Mus musculus: one gene and its partner. The protein of the gene in region 1 interacts with the protein of each later gene in a pairwise test. Links are inferred from orthologs where the notes say so. Each region holds a gene or a part of one and is shown on either strand. Other genes may lie near its edges.

Region 1 (3,650 bases):
TCCTTTAAAAAAGGTCTACCAGCCAGAGCTAAATAGTGATACCCTGTCTCAACAATAACAAGAATAAAGAAAGGGAAGGAAGAAAGAAAGGGAGTGAGGACCAATCAATCCCATTGTAAAATCTTCCTCCATGGCAACTACGCATCCAAACAGTCAGCATGGCATCTTCAGCCAGCAAAGATCAGCTCTAGGAGGAAGAGCCCTCAGAGCAGACAGGTGCTTAGTGACCTCTAGGAGTCCCTAAAGCTACCTCTTCCCCCACTCCTGCCCACCTGAGGCGTCGTCGAGGGTCAGAGGGTGTTCCTGTCCGACGGGCAGTACCATAATCAGACATCATGCCGTAATCGAGGTCATCATAGCCCATGCTGCGCTGGTCATCCTCTAGCCCGTAAGGCTCAGGATGAAAACGATGCAGGTCCACACTGCTTCCACCTACTCGAACCTGGGGCTGGGGCCCATAGACATCTTGTCTACTGGGTGCCCGGTAGCCTTCCATGCTGGGCCTATACCGCTCCTCAATTCGGGTCACCCGGGACAGACTGCCGTAGTTGTCACTGCCACCTGGATAACCATCTTCATAGTGTCGGCCATACCCATCTGGAGGATAGTGGAAGTTCCTAGGAAGAGTGGCAGTGCCCGCTTGCCCCACATAGGGACCAGGGCCCCCATTGCCATTCTTGCGAAAATCACGGCCCAAGGTCTGGATATAGTTATTGGAGACTGCTGAGGCGTCCACGGGCAGCCCGTCTGGCCCCATGGGGACAGGCTGTACTGTCCGAGTTGTCATTGTCTTCACAACTTTTTTGACCTTCATTTAAGGAATAAGAAAAGGAAAACCAACTATTGAGGAAATAAAGAATCTAAGTTTAAATTCCACAGTACTCTAAGATAGAAACCCTACCCTCTAGGTCTTTATACAGAAGTGTGTGTCATCTATATCTCTTCTCCATCCTACAGAAGCCCTCAATGGAAAAAAACTGCCCAATCACTAACATCCTCTCCGGAAGCTACTGTAACTGTCATACTCCTCCTCTCTTCCCACTTCCTGAACTTCTTTTACCTTGTCTCTTTGCCCAGGCATCACTTTCTTTCTGGCAGACAGTGGCTTTGGCTCACTTAACTCGTTAGCTTCTCTACTAAAATACCACAGAGGACCTATCATTCTAAGACACGAAAATCTCAGCTTACTGTGGTCTCCGTGCGTCTAGTGGTCCCATCATCTGTGGTCTCCACAGAAACAACAGACATGGCTCCTTCAGGGTCCTCCTCGGTGTAGGTTTCCACAATCTGTCCTGGCTCCTGCATCCTGGGGATAGTGCTGTACAGAAGGTGGTTGTGATCCTATGAGAGAGAAAAGAGTGAAAATACAACTGAACCTATGTAGTAACAATCTATTCTAGTAAGAAACACAGGTGCCTCTAGAGACAGGAGGCCTTCATGCATCTCCCATTGTCCTCAGGGGTTTTTAATAAAAAATGGTTGTCATCTTTAATACTTGTACAAAAAGGCAGGGCATGGTAGTGTACACCTTTAATCCCAGCACTCAAGAGGCAAATGCATGCAGACCTGTAAATTCAAGCCTACCCTAATATACACAGCAAATTCCAGGTCAACTAGGACCACATGTAAAAGGACAGAAAATAAAACTTCCTAGTACTAGCTATCTAACACATATAAGTTTAAAAAGGTAACTAGAATCATGCTGACATTGCAGTGACTGGGACAGCAGGTTACCTCCCATTCTGGTCCCCGACTTGGATATTAACTGTGTTAACTGTAATATTTACACTGGAGCAATACTTCAAAAAGAACAGCTTACTCAGTAAAGATACGGATTTTAAAAAATAATAAAAATACCAGGTTTTTGCTTTGTTTTGGGTAGCTAGGCAAGCACCCCACCTGCCACTGAAAACATTTGGAGCCTCCTCCTACTTTTACTTTGGGATAAGGTTCCAGCAATCTCCCAGGGAGGCCTTGAAACTTTTGATCCTCCTGCCACAGCCTCCTAAGACACTAAGATTAGATTTGCCCCATCAGGCCCAACAAAGATTTTGTTATTCATCAGATTCGTTCATCTCCTCAGTTAGATTTTAGGTAAGCTTTTCTACAATGTAAAATTATGCTCTCCCTCAAAACAATTGCAGTTTTTGGAGGATCAAATGAGATAGGAATACCATGAGAAAAGCCAATGATTAAAAAAAAAATCAGCAAAACTATAATTTGAAATGGTACCTTTTTAATTTCCAAAATTAAAAAACTAGTAAATATTTACGATGAGCACTGCAGCATAGCAATATGATCATAAAGACTGGAGAGGTACAAAGATGTGAATGAAGTCCCTAGACCTTGAGTGGAAACAATTACCTGGGGTCCGTTGAGTTTCAGATCTGAAAATTTCTGTCTCTCAAGGTCAGCATCGCCCACAAACCGGCCGTTCTGAAACAGAGCCCACAAAACAATTCATGTTCTGGCTGACCTTTGTTCTGTCTAAGACAGCATCTTTCTTTCAAAAATGAAAGGGCTTTTGAGAAGGTATTTGTGGACTGAAATCCTTCTGTCGGTACTCACATAAGAACCATAACACTCCATAACAATCTTAGATACCACTTTCCTCTACAGGCCTAGAATTCTGGCAGGTGGGATTTCTGGAGCATGAGAATGTAAGTTCCATGAGTACACAGGGTTTGAGTCCAGTAGTTTCAAGGCTACTAACATCCCTAACATCTTGAACAGTACTTGGCACATTAGAAGCATTCAAAGACCATTTGCTTAATAACACAGACTCAGGTAAGCTCCCTACAGAAAACCTTTTGGAAAGCTTTAAGAATGTAAGTTAGGAAGGCTACAATGGGGGGTGGCGGAAGGGGGGAGGGTGTCCACAAAAAGCCTCCTTTTATTATCGTTCTAGGAATCTTCAAGCTGTGGTACCAGGGTAAACTCCCATTCCAGGAAGCTCTTGAATGAAGAGAGTAAATTCTCCATTTCCAAATACGAAGGAAAGTACTCAGCAACGCCCCTCAAAAAAAGTCTTCAACGTCTTTAACAAGTTACAGCTACAGAACACATTCTCAAACGTTGTTAAATTGTTCTATGTTAAGCACCAAGACATAACCTAATGAGACTGCATATATAAAGCACATGTCTTGCCCCTCCCAACAGAATACAACTAGATCCAATAACCTTGGGATCTTCTTCCACCCATTCCCCCTTTACATGCAGTGTAATGCTGCAGCAGGGGAGGAAGTTAACCATTGCTTTCAGGAAGAAGGAAGGGTGTGGTTTCATTGCAGAGCAGAGGTTAAAAATAAAAGAAGAAGATAAACCACTAAATCCTGGGATTCCCCACCACCTTAAAGTCTGAGCACCCCACTTTCCTTCAGTGTGTCTCATCCCTAACTCTCTACACTCAAGTTCCTGAAAATTTCCTTGAACGTTGTTGTTTATTTCATGGTCCTGATTATTCAAATGATATCTACTAGCTTAAGGATTAAGCAAGCAACTGGGCACGATTGTAACCCTAGCACTAGGGAAACAGAGACAAGAGGACCACAAGGTTGAGGTCAACCTGAGCTATGTACCAATACCTAATCTTCACAGACCCAAAGGTCTGGAAATGTTGTTTAGTGGCATGCACAAGACCCAGGATTCCA
Region 2 (3,750 bases), on another chromosome or scaffold:
GAAGGTAAGGTCTCAGCAGTACCATCCTGTTCTGTACCTGATATGCTTTTAACCTGTGACAGTGGGACACCAAGCTCTGCTATAAATTTCACGCCTAGTAACTGCCCTGATTTAATTAACTCGTCAAGCAAATCTGCTCTAACACGGACAACTTTGGAACTGTAGATATAGTTCAGAATTTCTGCAAAAATCTCAGCTCTTATAAAGCTTAGTTCAACAACTTGCCCAGCAACTGAGAAGAGCTGATGGAAGTATGTACTCGAGGCTGAAAGGATGTTCCTATGGGCCCGGAATTTTCGGTCTTCCACAATAACAGTAACATCACAAAAGAGACCATGGCCACGCTGTTCATTCAAGGAGTTCAGCAGACTGGCAGAGTACTGAATGTCTGTAGCAGAAATCAGTTTTCTACTCTCCATGCCTATAAGGGAAAGAGAAGAGGGAAAGAGGGGAGGATTAGGGAGGGAAAAACCCCAAAGTACCTGACTATTCGAAATGTGAGGCATAGGTATGGTAAACAGTTTACATTTTAGTCAATATTTGGTGTAAATCTTGACCTTTAAACATGCTCTTACATACACTAGCTTTTGACTGTGTGTCAAATCTTAGGACTTACTCTGAGAAATGTCAAGAAACTTTGAAATTGCCATGCAGATCTGAACAATAATCTCCTTGGTCGCCTTCCTTTGAAATTCAGGAAAATGCATTTCCACTAATCACCCTTTTAAACTTAGAATTCACTTTCCTAGTCCCAACTTTACTTCATTTTTCCTCAAGAGATAAGAATTTTTCATTTTAAGAAAAATCTTCACCATTAAGCATATGAATTACTTCTTCAAATGCCAGAAAAGTTTAGTGTGTTTAATATTTAGTCTGAAATTTATACCCTTCAACTTCACCTCTAATCTTATTAGTTACATCCTATTCAAAAGTTCACCCTCACAGCCAAGGCCAATTACGGACACTGACAATTAGCGCCTCACAATTTCCCATTATTTCTACCTACCCCTTATCCTTCTATTCTGCCTTGCACTTTGTAGAGATGCAGCGTTAGACAGAGTGCCAAGTGAAGTCAACACATACTCTAGTGAAGAAACAAACAGAAAGGGAGAGCGCCCCTCCTCGGTGCCTATTTACATAAAAACTGCAAACATATGTTGTTGGTAAAGAATGATGTTCACTTGTAGAAGACCCAGTTCTCTTCAAAGGAGTCAGTGCAAGCAAAAACAGTAACTAGTTACAACAGAGAAGCAGGCAACTGTTGCTGCTGTGGGACACTCCAAACACTTTCTTTTGGCATTTCACGGAAGCTATTGAGTTCAGAGTGCATCTGAAGTGCAAAGGACCCATATGCATATTAAAATACTTATAAGCACAAAACACATGTTATACAAATATTATATATTAACCATTCCTTGCTAAGTACATTTGGTAGAGAATTATTTTATTAATAAGTTACTAAAGAATGTCACTGTCACCTGGTACTTACACACACACACACAAACACACACACACACACACACACACACACACACACATGCTCACATATAAACACACAAGGGAGGCATGAGTATCTCTGTATTTAAAACATCATAACTTTAAAAGTCTAAAAGCCAAAAATTAAAACCATGTTAGCTACTCCATTTTAACAGCACCAAGGAATTACAGGCAATCACAAAGGCATTCATCACAAAGTGTGACCTTTAGACAATCTGCCAACAATCCAAAACATGAAGGTTTCAACAGAAACCACTTTCAAGTGGAGAGATTTCTGTATATGGCCACATGATTTTTATAATTGGAAAATAAGGGTTTTTTTTTTCCAACATGGGAATGATTCAAATGTAGGTGTCTAGGTGATACTGGGACCTGGTTTCATTTTGATTAGGTATCCAGCTGGTCAGGGTTAGCCCAGGATCACCCCAAGTGGGTCTCAAACCTTTCCTCCCCAGAGATTTGCGACCTGCCTACGGAAAAGGCATCTCATAGCATTGTGTAACACATCTTTGGTTGTTGGCTGGTTTAGAAGGCTGGTGACAGTAGGGAAGAGAAAAATGCCACGGGCCAGAGGGGGGGAAACAAACCAACACTACAGGGCTCCCTGCAGCTGTTGTCCATCTCTCCCTCTTCCACCATCTCCCTCTTCTTCCTTTGAACTTTGGTGCAACTGAGCTTTTAAACGTCAATTCACGTGAAAACACAAACAGGGATGGCGATGCAAACAGCAGAACGAAGGCAGGGGGGTTGAGGGGTGTTGAAGAAAGTAGGCCTAGCTCCTAAGGGTACTCTGTTGGGGGTAGCGGGCCATGCGAAGCCGGAAGCATTGTTGTGTCCAAAGAAGGATCTAAAGAGGAGGATGGGCCCCATAGTAAAGCTCAATCAAACTAGTAGGGAGGTGGGAAAAGAGCCCCCTTCCCCGCCCCCCAAAGCGGACGAATGGAGAGGGAGAAAGCCAAGTGGGTACTTGGCGGCGTCCCCCACGCCCTAAGGCTTATGCAAGGGTACCGGGTGCCTCTGGCACTGGACAGAGAAGGGGACCACGCCGCGCCTTACCGGTTCTCTTGGTAGAGCTCCGGGACCCACACAAAGAAAGAGCAGAGGAGCCAAGGCCTCGGGCTCCGCTGCTTCCTGGTTCAAGCGAGGCGGCCGCAAGCGTAGGCGCGGCCAGGGCATGGAAGGCGTAGGCGGGCTCCGTCTCCCGGGCCCGGTGCCCAGCCCACTCCTCACCTGCTCCGCGGCGGCCGCTTTCTCCTCCTCGGGGCCGAGGCAGGGTCAGAGTCCTACCCCAAGCAGCCGGACTCCGCAGCGCCGCTGCTGCCGCTTTAAATGTCGCTCCAGTTTCCGCCGACGTCAAAGCGGCTTCCACGGACGCGGCTCGGGCGCCGGGCTCCGCCGACAGAGGGCGCAGCGTGGGAGGCGTGGCTTCCTCGCCTTCCTCTTCCGAGAGCAGCCCGGGGTTGTCCGGAAGAGCGCGAAGCCCGCCTTCGGCTCTTTCCGTGACTGCGAAGCATTTTTCTAAGTGTTCTGTGATTCTCTTAAGAGCTCGGCTCCGTGAGACAGACAAAGATCCGATGACACTGTTAGGAGTGGCAGGGAGGCTAGTCTTGTTTGTTCAAACTCCCTTAAGTCCCGAGGGCTTAAAAATGTTCAGAGGTTGTATAAATTCCAGTTCTTTTGCATGTTTGAAGTCTGCCCTGTTAGCCTGTTGCTTGGATAACAAGCCACCTTGAATACAATCTGCATACTAAAATTTAACTCATACTAATTCAAATTGTAGGATAACAAGAAAACCACATTACACTGTCTACTTTTAAGAAGAAACCTGTGTTCTGATAACTCTTGTTAATCGAATGTTAAATGGTGCATGCAATATCTTGTTAACTGCATATCTATTAACATAGAGATCACATTTGATCTGCAGCAAATATACTCCAGGCCCTGTGGGATAGAAAAGCAGATAAGACAAGTTTCTCTCATTTCAGAGGGCTCGGCAGGTACATACACACGAATAAAAGTATTTTAAAAGTATAGAACTACAGAGAAGGAATAACAAACCAAATAGTGTCAAATGAGCCCTACCTTGAAAGGCAATAATATTTGTATTGTTTATCATTATTTTTTAAAATATTTTTTATTATGTATTTTCCTCAATTACATTTCCAATGCTAGCCCAAAAGTCCCACACACACCCCCCCACTCCCCTACCCACCCAGTCCCACTTTTTGGCCCTGGCGTTCCCCTGTACTGGGG

What was found. The genes of interacting proteins can lie anywhere in the genome.
Region 2: the proteins of Ctnnd1 (region 1) and Zbtb33 interact in binary tests that used the Homo sapiens proteins (3 or more experiments, as listed by UniProt). The link is inferred for Mus musculus from reciprocal best matches to the Homo sapiens genes CTNND1 and ZBTB33.

What each region holds. Positions count from the first base shown.
Region 1 is NC_000068.7:84,619,647-84,623,296, forward strand, and holds part of Ctnnd1 (catenin delta-1), read right to left. Parts: intron 2,437-3,650; coding exon 2,365-2,436; intron 1,342-2,364; coding exon 1,189-1,341; intron 809-1,188; coding exon 273-808; intron 1-272. UniProt on the Homo sapiens protein: Key regulator of cell-cell adhesion that associates with and regulates the cell adhesion properties of both C-, E- and N-cadherins, being critical for their surface stability.
Region 2 is NC_000086.7:38,188,886-38,192,635, reverse strand, and holds the start of Zbtb33 (transcriptional regulator Kaiso), read right to left. Parts: upstream 2,844-3,750; 5' UTR 2,554-2,843; intron 422-2,553; 5' UTR 420-421; coding exon 1-419. UniProt on the Homo sapiens protein: Transcriptional regulator with bimodal DNA-binding specificity.